Ovis aries: one gene and its partner. The protein of the gene in region 2 interacts with the protein of the main gene of each other region in a biochemical or structural test. Links are inferred from orthologs where the notes say so. Each region holds a gene or a part of one and is shown on either strand. Other genes may lie near its edges.

Region 1 (6,065 bases), on a different chromosome or scaffold from region 2:
ATTCCTGCAGATCAGATCTAGTCTCTCCTTCCTCTATGCTCCTGTAGCCTTTGGCTCTTAAACAGACTTTCTTATGGTGCTTATCACATTCTAGCCTTGAGAAGAGCAACTGTATCTTGTTTGTTTGCGATTCCTCCTCAGCACCTGGCAGAGTGCCTTGCATTCACTGGACACTGTTGTGAATTAAATTAATTCAAATGATCTCGTACTCTTTTTTGAATGCCTCTAAAACACAAATATTCTGGAGCCTATGCCATTTCTAATGTTATTTTCTAATGGGAATTTTCTAGTTGGATTTTTTTGTTAAGATGTTAAAGTCTCAATATCAAATTCCCCCGTTTTTGAGGGGGTGGTTAGGACCAATGGTGGCAACTTTCTTTTACATGAGTTCATCATAGCATGTTAAGAACCAATCTTGAAATACTATTTTTTCAAATGACATAAATTTACAGAAACACTTACTTTAAAAATGATGTTTGTATCTTATTGTCCATATAGAGATATAGATCCTTTATAAATAAAATATTAGCAGTGTAAATAATGTTATGTATTTATACAAAATAAATTTACTGAATCTACTTTCAGTGTGATGATGTCTTTTAAATCATTTTTTATAGTCATGCAGTTAGAGATGAACCACACTGATCTGTTTTCCTGAATCATAGTTAGGGGAAGCTCTTTTTCACCAACAAAACATATTCCCCGTTTGGATGGTTTCTACATCGAAATGCTACTGTGACCTAAGCAAATTAATTGGCCATAAAGGGGATGACCCCAAGCATCACTGTGGGTGTGCATATTGGGCACTGAGAATAGAGAAACGGTCTCAGATTTCCTTTCTCCATTGGACCTATAGGTAATATACTTTCTTAGCTTTCATCTTTGGGACAGATGTAAGGAGTGGATCCCAGTTTGGGTGGATGGAGTAGCTGTTGTTCAGCTGCTAAATCATGTCCAACTCTCTGGGATTGGATGGACTACAGCACGCTGGGCTCCCATCCTTCACTATCTCCCTGAGTTTGCTCAGTTCATGTCCATTGAGTCAATAATGCCATCCAACCATCTCATCCTCTGCTGGCCTTTCTCCTTTTGCCTTTAGTCTTTCCCAGCATCAGGGTCTGTTCCAAAGAATCGGCTCTTCACATCAAGTGGTCAAAGAACTGCAGCTTCAGCTTTAGCATCAGTCCCTCCAATGAACATTTCAGGGTTGATTTCCTTTAGGACTCGACTTCAAGGATGGATGGAGGAGGGGTGATTTAAAACCACTAATTACACAACAAATGATACTAGAAGGAAGAGGGTGACTTCTAGAGAATTCGACATAAAGAGTGTTTTCACTTGTTAGGGGTTGTTGCATGCCCCTTTTGTTGCCCAGATGCCTAGTTCCAGGGGGAAATGACAGAGGAGATTTTCTCCTTATCAGTGCACCTTGTTTTTCCTGACTTGGGTTTCTGGCCTGAATGCGTGACTGCTTTTCTAGGGCAAATCAAAACTAAGACATTAAAAAATAAATAAGACCTTTTGAGGACCCCTGCAAGACCAAACCACACAGCACTCTGCAAACATGGCGGCTCTTGCTACCACATCTTGGTGCTTCAGGGGCCACTATCAGAATGGGATGTTCTGTCAACACTTTATTTCACAAATCTGTATTTACCATTAGGCACTGTCCCATAAGCTTGGGAATACACCAGTGAACAAAACAGACTAAAGCCAGTCTTCTGAAAGTTTTCATTCTATGTGATTCTACTCTGGCTCCATTTAGCTACTATGTTATTTACTCACAAAAGTTGATCAGTAAAACTTAGCCTTACTCAACAGGGCTATACTCCAGCTTATTTAAGGGAATTTGAAATATTTTATTGGGATCTATCCAGTTTTGTTAAGTGTTCTAATAAACCATTTAGTCTAAGGCAAGAGCCTGTGACAAAGCCCAGTTTCCCACAAATTAGAGACCGAACTGTCTAAAACTGATTAGGTCATCTATCTTGGCTCCAATCTGAACAGTCTCAAAATTTCCTTTAAGGATCGCCTTTTGCAAACAGGATGCTAAGCGCACGTGTCTTCTCCAAGTCCCAGATAAGGGAAGCGCAGCTATGCCGGAGCAGTCTCCCTCCTACGCGATAGGGGGCAGTCGACTTCCAGAGACTGGGTTCTCTCAACCCTCCACCCGGGGAACGTCACGACCGCCTCTCGCCGCCTCTCCACTCCACTGGTGCGCAGGCGCGGACGGGAGCGCGCACCGAGCCGCTGAGGGAGGGGGTCAGGAACTCTGACCCCCCCCCGCCCCCAAATACACAAACCCAGAAAGCTCCGTCTCCACTTTTTTAACCCTCCCCGCTCCAGCTTTTTCCAGTCTGTTTGCCTGGAGGCCCCCTACCCCATCCCGTCCCAGCAGCCGCCGCACAGGGCTGCCCGGTTTACGCCCAGCGTAGGACGCCACTCGGCAGAGAAGCGCCGGTAAGAAGGGACGGGTGAGGAGAAAAGCGGCCGCAGCGGCGCCCGGGAGGAAGGCGGGGGGCCCTGGGAAGGTCCCTTCCTCCCAACTGCCAACGGGCGCGCCCCCAGGCCCCTCAGCAGCCTGAGGCTTCGGCCGGCAGAACCCGCTCTTCGGCATCCGCGGCGCGCTACTCGGGGCGGGCTGGGAGAGCGGCCGGAGCAGCGGGGCCGAGTGCGCGGGGCTCCGAGAAAGGCCGAGGCGGGAGCCGGAGCCGGGAGCGGTGTCCAGAGCCCGGAGCGGGGCCGTGTCGGTGGGCTCACGAGGGAGTCGGCGAGCGGCTCGGCGCGCACGGCAGCTTCTCCCGCGGCACCTCTGACCTTTCACCTACAGGGAACGCTTCCGTCTTGGCGCGGGCGCCGCTTCCCCAGCCTCCGGGAGCCGCGCTCTGCCGCCGGGCCCGGGGTCGGAGTGGGCTCTAGCGCCTGCGGAACGTGGGAGAGGCCGGCCTGGCGGCGAGCCGAGGCCCGGATCCCTTTTACCACGAGCCTCTGACTTGTTTCTGTGTTTTTACTGGATCGACGGAATGACGCTCTCTACTTCACAGCCGATGGCGCGGGAGCGGCCGCTGCCTTTGGATCTCTCTCTTTAGAGAAAGAAAAGGCAACGGCCGAATGTCCTCACTGCAGTGCGCGTCCAAGCTTCCTGCATCTCTTTTGTTAAGAAAGTCTGCTTCCAGCTCTTGCAGATACCGTTTTATGAATGGCAAATGTTGCCAGGTTGTTTTGTAACCTTCGCTATATAGGTCAACTGTTAAAAAATAATTGCTGGAAAGGAAAAACAAAGAGGCTTGAAATTAAGGCCTTTAGGGTTTTTGTGCCTCGGAACTTAATGGACCTTCGACTTTGAGGGTTTTAGAACAATGCCTGCTGTGTGGTTGGTTTTAGATTTTAATTGTATGTCAGTTGGGTAGATGTACAATAAAGAAGGTATTTGTGTTTATTTTTAAAATGGATCGCAGAAAATGTAATTTCATCATTCTTTGTAGGAGCATTTCAGCTTTTTTAAAGGAGATCAAAGGCAGAAAACATTCCCAAAATATGTACTCTTTGTGTGTGCTACACAATATAATTCCTACTATTGTTGGAGAGAAGAAAGGAAAGAAATCGTATATAAGAAAGGATTAATAGTTTATATAATCATGTACCTTTTTTGAGTCATAGAACCCTCTGCAACCTTTTTAAATCTTTTATGAAAGCCATAGACTGTCTCTAGAAAAATGCACCCTTGCATAAAATTTTGTAAGTAAATAGAAGTTTCACAACTGAGTTTTAAAGATGGGAGAATTTAAATGAGGGAGGAGGAGCTTGGAGTTGTACATTGGGGAATAAAGAACATTCCAGTTTGTCCTGAAGGAGTCCCCTCTGGGACTGGTGAGATGAAATAGGAAGATGGGGAAGTCAAACTATAAAGGAATGCTCCTTTGTGTCTGCAGTGGCAGGCGTGTTTATAAGGACTTAGTAAATACTGAAAAACTACCAGGAGAAGGACTGAAACTTTATTCTTTGACCGTTAAAGAGGCACTGATACTTATGAAACAGGAGAATAAGGATGTGTTTCAGTTCTGTAAGCATCCTGAGATTTTGCTGTTGGTCAGAAGAGCTGACACAGATGATTCTTGCCTTCTAGGGGTTTTTCATAGACGCAAAGTTGAATATATTAAATATTCATCCAGGAAAGTTATTTCTGCCAGTTGCTGAAATTATACTGAAAGGATTCTTAACCTGAAGACCTTGGGCTGGCCATAGGAGAGTTTACGAACTCCTTGAAATTCAGCATAGCATATATCATCAGTTGTAGAGTGAATGAATGTGAACCTGTTTTCTTGTGAGGGAAGCCTTAACTTCTATCAGATTTTCTTTTATTTTTTATTTTTGGTTGCGCTGGGACTTTGTTGCTGCACCTTGCTTTTTCTAGTCGCAGTGCCCAGGCTTCTCACTGAAGTGTTTTCTTGTTGCGGAGTGTGGGCTGTAGTGTGAGCTCAGTAGTTGCAGCACACGAACTCAGTAGTTGTAGTTAATGGACTTAGTTACTTCATGATGTGTGGAATAGTCCCAGACCAGGAATCAAATCCATGTTCCCTGCATTAGCAGGTGGATTCCTATCCACTGTACCACCAGGGAAGTCCCAGATTTTCAAATCTATGTTTGACCCACCCTACCAGGAAAAAAAAAAATTGTTTTGCATCATATTTTCAAGCATTTTTTGACTGCTACACAAAAAAAAGGTTTTCCATCATGACTTAACACAGATTAAACTGAAATAAGTCCTTACCCTCACTATACTTGATGCAGCATTTTCTATTCTAATTTCTTTCTTTTTTAAAAGAAGAAAATTTTGACCTACTATATTTCCCCATCCACAAGTGGCTCACAGCAAGGAGTTTGCAAAATACTACTTTGTAACAAGAGCCTACAGTTGGTTGATGGGAGTAGGGCTGGTGGAGAAAGAAAATGGACTGTTCATGATGTACTCAAAGAGCACAGACTTAAAATTGTGAACCTGAATGGAAGGAGGATGACACCACTGTTGTTGTTCAGTAAATAAATCATTTCTGACTCTTGCAACCCCATGGACTGCAGCATGCCAGGCTTCCCTGTCCTTCACTATATCCTGGTGTTTAGATTTATCTCCATTGATTCATTGGTGGTATCTAACCATCTCATCCTTTGCTCTACCCTCTTCTCCTTTTGCCTTCAGTCTTTCCCAGCATCAGGGTATTTTCCAGTGAGTCGGCTCCTCGCATCAGGTGGCCAAAGTGTTGCAGCTTCAGCATCAGTCTTTCAGGTGAATATTCAGGGTTGATGTCCTTTAGGATTGACTGATTTGATCTTGCTGTCCAAGGGACTCTCAAGAGTCTTCTCCAGCAGCACTTTGGAAAGCATCAATTCTTTGATGCTCTGCTTTCTTTTGGTCCAACTATCACATCTGCCCATGACTACTGGAAAAACCATAGCTTTCATGGATCACAGCCTTGTCATGGTGAAAGGGCTTGCTTGCATAACTCAATAAAGCTATGAACCGTGCCATGAAGGGCCACCCAAGACAAATGGGACATAGTGGAGAGTTCTGACGAAACATGGTCCACTGGAGGAGGGAATGACAAACCACTGCAGTATTCTTGCTATGAGAGCCCCATGAACAAATTCAAATGGCATCACTGAGGGTATATTTTTTCCTGTGGGGAAGATACATAGACATGAGATTGAGGTAAATGTGAAAAAAGAAGAATCAGAGGCAAAAATCTAAGACTGTATGTCTTCTGTATCTTAATTAGCTCTAGAGTAGTAAAGGCAGCATCCTCCTGTTTTTTTGCTTTGTCCCTGAGGTTGGTAAAAACGTTTATCCTTCAGTGCCTGTTTCAAATGTCTCTTCTGTAAGATTTTCCCCAGACCCTCCGACTCCGGTGTGATGGTTCTCCTGACCTGTTGCTCATTTATTGAGCACTTTGTTATTCAGCTGTCAGGGAAAACATTTTACCTGTAAGAGACCATTGTACACCGATACATATGTGTGTGTGTGTGTGTGTGTGTGTGTGTGTGTGTGTGTGTGTGTGTGTGTGTGTATA
Region 2 (5,882 bases):
TCAGTGGGAGTCCAGGACTACCACCAGTGGGCCCTTCCCACCCACGGTGCCTTCTCTAGCCCTGCTTTCAGGGTGGTGGCACCCCACTTGCTGACTCAAGAAAGTATTACTAGGCCTCCTATCTTGGTCAGGATTTAGCCTGGGTCTGTTGGCTAGGTCAGGATTTAGCCTGGGTCTGTTGGCCAGGAAGAGGTGTGGGGAGAAGGGTGAAGGAGGAAGGTGATTGAGCCAGGTTTTAGGCTGTTCACTCACGGGGCTGGAGCTGGGCGTCATCAGGCTCCGAGCCCCTTGAGGTGCGGCAGCGGTAGCCCTTCTTCTTGAGCACGTGGCAGATCATGAAGCCTACAAGGCCCATGAGGAAGAAGACCAGCACAAGCAGGAAGAGCATGTACAGCCCATGCTGGGGCGGTTCCAGGTCAGGCTGTGGTTCCGACATGAGGCCCTGGCGGGTGAGCACGGGCCAGGGCGGCTCCTGGAGTTAGGGGGCTGCAGCTAAGGATTGGGGGAGGGTTAGGAATGCCGTCCTCAGGATTCAAGACAGACAAGCCTCTGAGGTCTGGCCCCACCCCCTACCCAACCAAGGAGCTGTCCGTGCCAGGGGTGCTGGTCCGGGCCAGGGGTGTCAGACGGCGGCTGCGCAGGCCCTCTTCCACGACCCTGGTCCCGCTCCCCCGACGCCCAGAGCTCCCCGTTTCCAGCCTGTCCTGAGCTTTCGTCCCTCCCAAGGACACTGCAGAGCGAGATGGGACGGAATTCTCAGGCGGCCGGCACAAGGATAGTGCCTGAGTCAGCGTCCACATCTCTTCTGCGCGGGCCTGAGTCAGGCCTCCGCAGCCCCTTCCCCTTCCTGTACTGTCTCACACACACCCCCTCCCGCCTTTCGGGTTCTCCCGTCCTGACCACCTGGCCCACCCGGTACCGGTGGTTTGGTTCTGGCTCCGGCTCCGGCTCCGGTTCCAGGGGCGTCCTAGTCCGGCTCAGGGCCCCCGACGCCCTCCCGGCGCTCATCCCTTGCTTCCTTCCCCTCCCCCCTTCGCCGCCTCAAGGGCTCCGGGCTGCGGCTGCAGATACCCGTGCCGCGGCAGGGGTGGGGGGAGGGAAGGATGGAAAGGGATGAGGGCTGGTTGGGACCGGCGACAGGCTCCGGACAACTCCAGCCGTGGAAAGGGAAGGAGAAGGGGGGCGCTGCCGCAGCCGCTCTGGGTCTCCAAAAGCCTTCGATCGCCGGCCGGGGACCAGGGGGCGGAGCCCAGGTGTGCGGGGCGGAGAGAGAGAGCCTTGCGCGCTTCTGAGCGCAAGTGTGGTGCGCGCGTGACTGCGCAGCCCCCCCACTGCCGCCCGGTGACGGTGCGGTGCCGAGTCTGGGTCCGGGTGAGGAGGACGGGCAGTCAGGCGAGAGCGCTCTCCACCGGTCTATCGGGCACGCCTGGCTTGGCTCCAGCCCTCAGATGCCCCGGCTGGATGTGTAGCTGGGAATCTTCCCCAGCGGGCCGGGGGAAGCTTGCTTTCTGCACCTGAGAGGGTCAGCGTGGCCGGTTCTCCGGAGCCTCCTAGAGAGGCGACACGGCCTGCGCCCCGCTTGGGACAGGTAGCTGGACAGGATGGCTCGGCTTCCCGAGGATTTGACCCCCGCCGGGAAGGAAATGGCCCTGTCATCCTAGGACCAATGCTACTGTCCTCCGGCCAAGCCCAGACTCTCACGCCCCAGACCTAGAAGGGCGGAGCTAGCCGAGGGCAGAACTCCGCAGGAGGCGTGGCCTGGGCGTGGTCTACGGGAGTCGAGCTTGGGTTTCCTGGTTCTGCAGAGGCAGGCAGCGTGCTTACGCAGCACGCAAGGCCGGGGGTGGGGCAGGCGGCCAGGCTGGCGGCGGAGGTGCGGGGCCTGGTCCCGCCGGCACCATGGCCAAGACTGTGGCCTATTTCTACGACCCCGACGTGGGCAACTTCCACTACGGTGAGAGAGCAACATTGCACGCGAGGGATTTCGGGACGCGGAGGTTTCGAAGCCGGGCCTACAACTCCAGGGATGGGTACTGACGAACTCTCTTCTCCCACCCCCAGGGGCTGGTCACCCTATGAAGCCTCATCGCTTGGCATTGACTCATAGTCTGGTCCTGCACTACGGCCTCTATAAGAAGATGATCGTGAGTCTCACGGCTTCTCCTGGGGATTGAGGGTGGGGACGAGCTGCGGCCTTAGGGATAGGTAGGCTGCACTGAATGCATCAAGAGTGACCCAGCCCTGGCAGGGGGGAGGTGGATAGAAGGAACAAGGAGCACCCCCATATGCAGAGTGTTGGTGGATGCATCCACTGACTTAATGAAAGTTAGTTTTTAGGTCGGCCACCTTTTGACCTTAAGTGGACCAAACTTTGGCCTACGGTTAGGGTGGAGTGGAGCTGGTTTGCAGACGCAGAGTATTTCCCTCCCTTGAATCTTAGGACAGTTCTGTGGCCTCAGAGAAGGGAAAGCAGCTGGCCCAGTGTATCTGGATATGAGGTTTACCCTCATTTCCCACCCCTTTTCCTCTTCCACCTCTCCACCGCCAAGCTAGAGTTCTAGGGAGGACTTTGCAGCCCTGTGTGTAAATGTGTGTGTGGAGGACAGTAGGAGGTGTCCTGGATATTCCCTTTTCAATCTAGAATACCCCCGCCCACACACAGAGTTCCACTTAATTACTACTCATCCCTCCATCTCCCCCTGTGTACACATCCTGTCTGTCCCTGGCTTGGAATTTATAGCAGTGTGATATGTGATCATAACATACGGCCCTTATGGATCGCAAAGGGGATTAGCCAGCAGTATGAATGAGTGTCCACTGCTTGTGCTGAGACACAGACTAGTGAATTGATCATAGAAATGACTGAGGTGATGTTAATGCCTGGATCTCTGACTCTCGAAATTGTTTGCCTATGTGTGCCTATGAGCATTTTCTGGGGAGAGAAAATTTTTTGCTCTTGTCCAGTTTCTAAAGTGTGTGACCCTCTCAAGAGATAATAAATCTCTGGCTTAGCATCTTGAGTTTTAATTAGAAGGTTGTTTTGTGTCCCATATTATTTCATTTCAAAATTAAGAAGAACTCAGAGGAGAGAGAGGACAGAGTCAGCACCCAGGGGAAATGAGTATGAAGAGAATCAGGAATAGGAGATCCAGGGAACAGGGCAGGTGAAGGGAGTTAAGGTTTGAGAAGGGAGAAAAGGCTGGGCTGGAGGTATGAAGGAAAAGGCAGGCCCAGTGGTCTTTAGAGGGCTTGATCATAAGAAACTCCCAAGCTAATCAGAGTCTTTCTTTTTCACGGACCTTTGTCTCATAGAATAACAAGGATTGGAGAGGAGGGACAAGGGGACTGCTGTGTGTGGTTTTAGACAGTCCCCAGTGCTGGGCTCAGTGTGGTCAGTTTCAGCCGGGTGAGTAGGACTGACCCTGCCTGACTTTATCTTGTGTTTCCCTCTCAAGGTCTTCAAGCCTTACCAGGCCTCCCAGCATGACATGTGCCGCTTCCACTCTGAGGACTACATTGACTTCCTGCAGAGAGTCAGCCCCACCAATATGCAAGGCTTTACCAAGAGCCTTAATGCCTTCAATGTGGGTGATGACTGGTAAGGGGAGAACTGGGACCTTTGATGCCAGGCACCTTGATGCCAGGCATTTCAGTGAGAATACTCAAGTGAGGTCTTATGGCAGCAGTGGGAAGATATGTGGGGGGGCGGGGGGATACTTGTCAATGAATCATCATTTACTAATTTGCTTATTCAACAAATATTGATTGGTTATTGGCTCTAGGCCAGGCCCTATGCTAAGTGCTAGGGATATAATGATAAATAATACCAACACAATTTTAATATAGCCCTTGTGCTGAGTCCTCTAGAAGAGAGGTACATGACAGACTAAGAGAGGGCAGACATGGGAGAATTATCTAGCCTGGGCTGGGGCAGGTCAATGGCGGCTTCCTAGAGGAAGTAATGAAGATTGGGCTGAGTTCGAAAGAAAGTAGGATGTAATTAGGTGAAAGATAGTTGGGAGGATGGAGAATGAGGGGAGGAATGGGAAGTAGGGACAACATGCCCTAAGGGTCTGTATCAGGACAGAGTGTGACTTATTTAAGGAACAGAAAAAAGGCCACCCACAATATCTGAAAAGTGATCTGAATTGTGTCTAAAGAGATAGGTAGGGTCTTTAAAAAATAAACAACCCTATTATGAATTGGGATTTTTAACTTCTAGAGTAGGGAGAAGTCATTGGAGGGTTTTAAAAAGCAAGAGAGTGTTAGGTACAATCACGTTTATGTCGAGCTTATTTCATATGAGAAGTCAGCTCAGAGTTAGGTCTTGTGGGGAAAAGGTGGCCAACAAAGATAGCCATGATCCTTGCTTCCATTCTAGTCTGCATCCACTAAAAGATAGTGACCACAACAGCTGCCATCTGCTCCATTCATTTTTAAACTTTATATTTATTAGAGAAAATTTTAAACATTTCTGCAAGTAGAAATACAGTGAACCCCCGTCTATCCATCACCCAGCTGCAGCACTTAGACCAGATGGCTAATCTTGCTTCATCTGTGTCCCCGCACGTTAGGTTATTTTAAAGCTAATTTGAGATGTCACTCCCTTTTGTTTATAAATATGTTACTATATATCTCCAAATGATACTCTTTAAAAAAAATGCATAGTATTCATCACACCTGAAAAATCAACAGTAATTCATATCATCAAATATGCAGTCAGTACTTAAATTTCTCCAATTGTCTCACATTTTTTTCTTTTTTTCAGTTGATTTATTTAAATTAGGATTTAAACAAGGTCCACACTCCATCTCATAAGACTTTTAACCCTTAATGTTTCCTTCTCGCCCTTGAATTTATTTATTTATTTTTGCCATGCCTTGGCTTGAAGGATCTTAGTTCCCTGACCAGGGATTGAACCCAGGCCCCCAGCAGTGAAAACATGGAGTCCTAACCATTAGATTGCCAGGGAATTCCTTGAATTTATCTTTTGAAGAAATGAGGCTGTTGATCCTATAGTTTCCTACAACAGCTACAGTTTCTTGAGTAATTTACTCTGCTGTGCTGAGGATTACTGGTATATCCACTTAATTCTTACACCAACCCTGAGATGTAATAGTCCTTTTCATGATGGTAAGCATTAAGTACATACATTGAAATTTGAGGAGATTTTGATAACTTAGCCTGAACAGTGGCAGTGGCAGGATTCAGGTCCAGAGGCTAGGTTTTTAAACACTACACCAATTGGTTTCCCTGAAGAGCCTTCCAATAGAAGCAGCCTCGGCTGGAGGATTGAGGTCGACTCCTTAGGTTGGCATTGAGCACCTTCCCAACCTTATCCCCACATCTCTGCTGCACAGGGTGTCTTCTCAGAATACCCTTTGTTCTCCAGTCAGCCTCTCCAGGGCCTTCTCAGCCTTCAAGCCACCACAAAGCTTCATGCCATGAAGGCTTTCTTGACCACACCAGCCCCAGAGGTCTGTCCCGCACACACTGCCCTGCTTGTTGGGTTGTTCAGGCACATGCTGTCTTGGGAGCTTTCTTGTTTTTTGTGTTATTGCTCCTGCTAGTTTTGAGTTCGCTTTATAGGTCTGGGAATGTAAAGTCCACCCTCAGGCCACAGCCTTGGGCCCTGTGAATGCTCTTGGTGCAATTAGCACTACTGTCACTGCGCTTCTCTACTTCCCATCCAGTGCCTTGAACAAGTTTCAGTATGTGGTTTCGTCCACAATATTTGTTGAATAAATTTGCAGATAACTTGGGTATGTATGTAGGAGGGGCAGACGGGGTTACTGAAGAAAGGAGACTACGGGGCTCTGGGCTGGGGAGAAAGGTGAAGGAAGGAAGTGGACAGAGGAAAAAGGGCTCCAACTTGCTCTTCT

Evidence for each region.
Region 1: the proteins of HDAC3 (region 2) and NR2C1 form a complex in vitro, tested with the Homo sapiens proteins (4 studies listed by BioGRID). The link is inferred for Ovis aries from reciprocal best matches to the Homo sapiens genes HDAC3 and NR2C1.

The regions. Positions count from the first base shown.
Region 1 is NC_056056.1:131,265,948-131,272,012, reverse strand, and holds the start of NR2C1 (nuclear receptor subfamily 2 group C member 1), read left to right. Parts: upstream 1-2,206; 5' UTR 2,207-2,460; intron 2,461-6,065. UniProt on the Homo sapiens protein: Orphan nuclear receptor. Binds the IR7 element in the promoter of its own gene in an autoregulatory negative feedback mechanism. Primarily repressor of a broad range of genes.
Region 2 is NC_056058.1:50,382,633-50,388,514, reverse strand, and holds the start of HDAC3 (histone deacetylase 3), read left to right. Parts: upstream 1-1,845; 5' UTR 1,846-1,899; coding exon 1,900-1,954; intron 1,955-2,061; coding exon 2,062-2,144; intron 2,145-3,455; coding exon 3,456-3,598; intron 3,599-5,882. Other genes in the region: RELL2 (RELT-like protein 2), read right to left, coding at 253-436. UniProt on the Homo sapiens protein: Histone deacetylase that catalyzes the deacetylation of lysine residues on the N-terminal part of the core histones (H2A, H2B, H3 and H4), and some other non-histone substrates.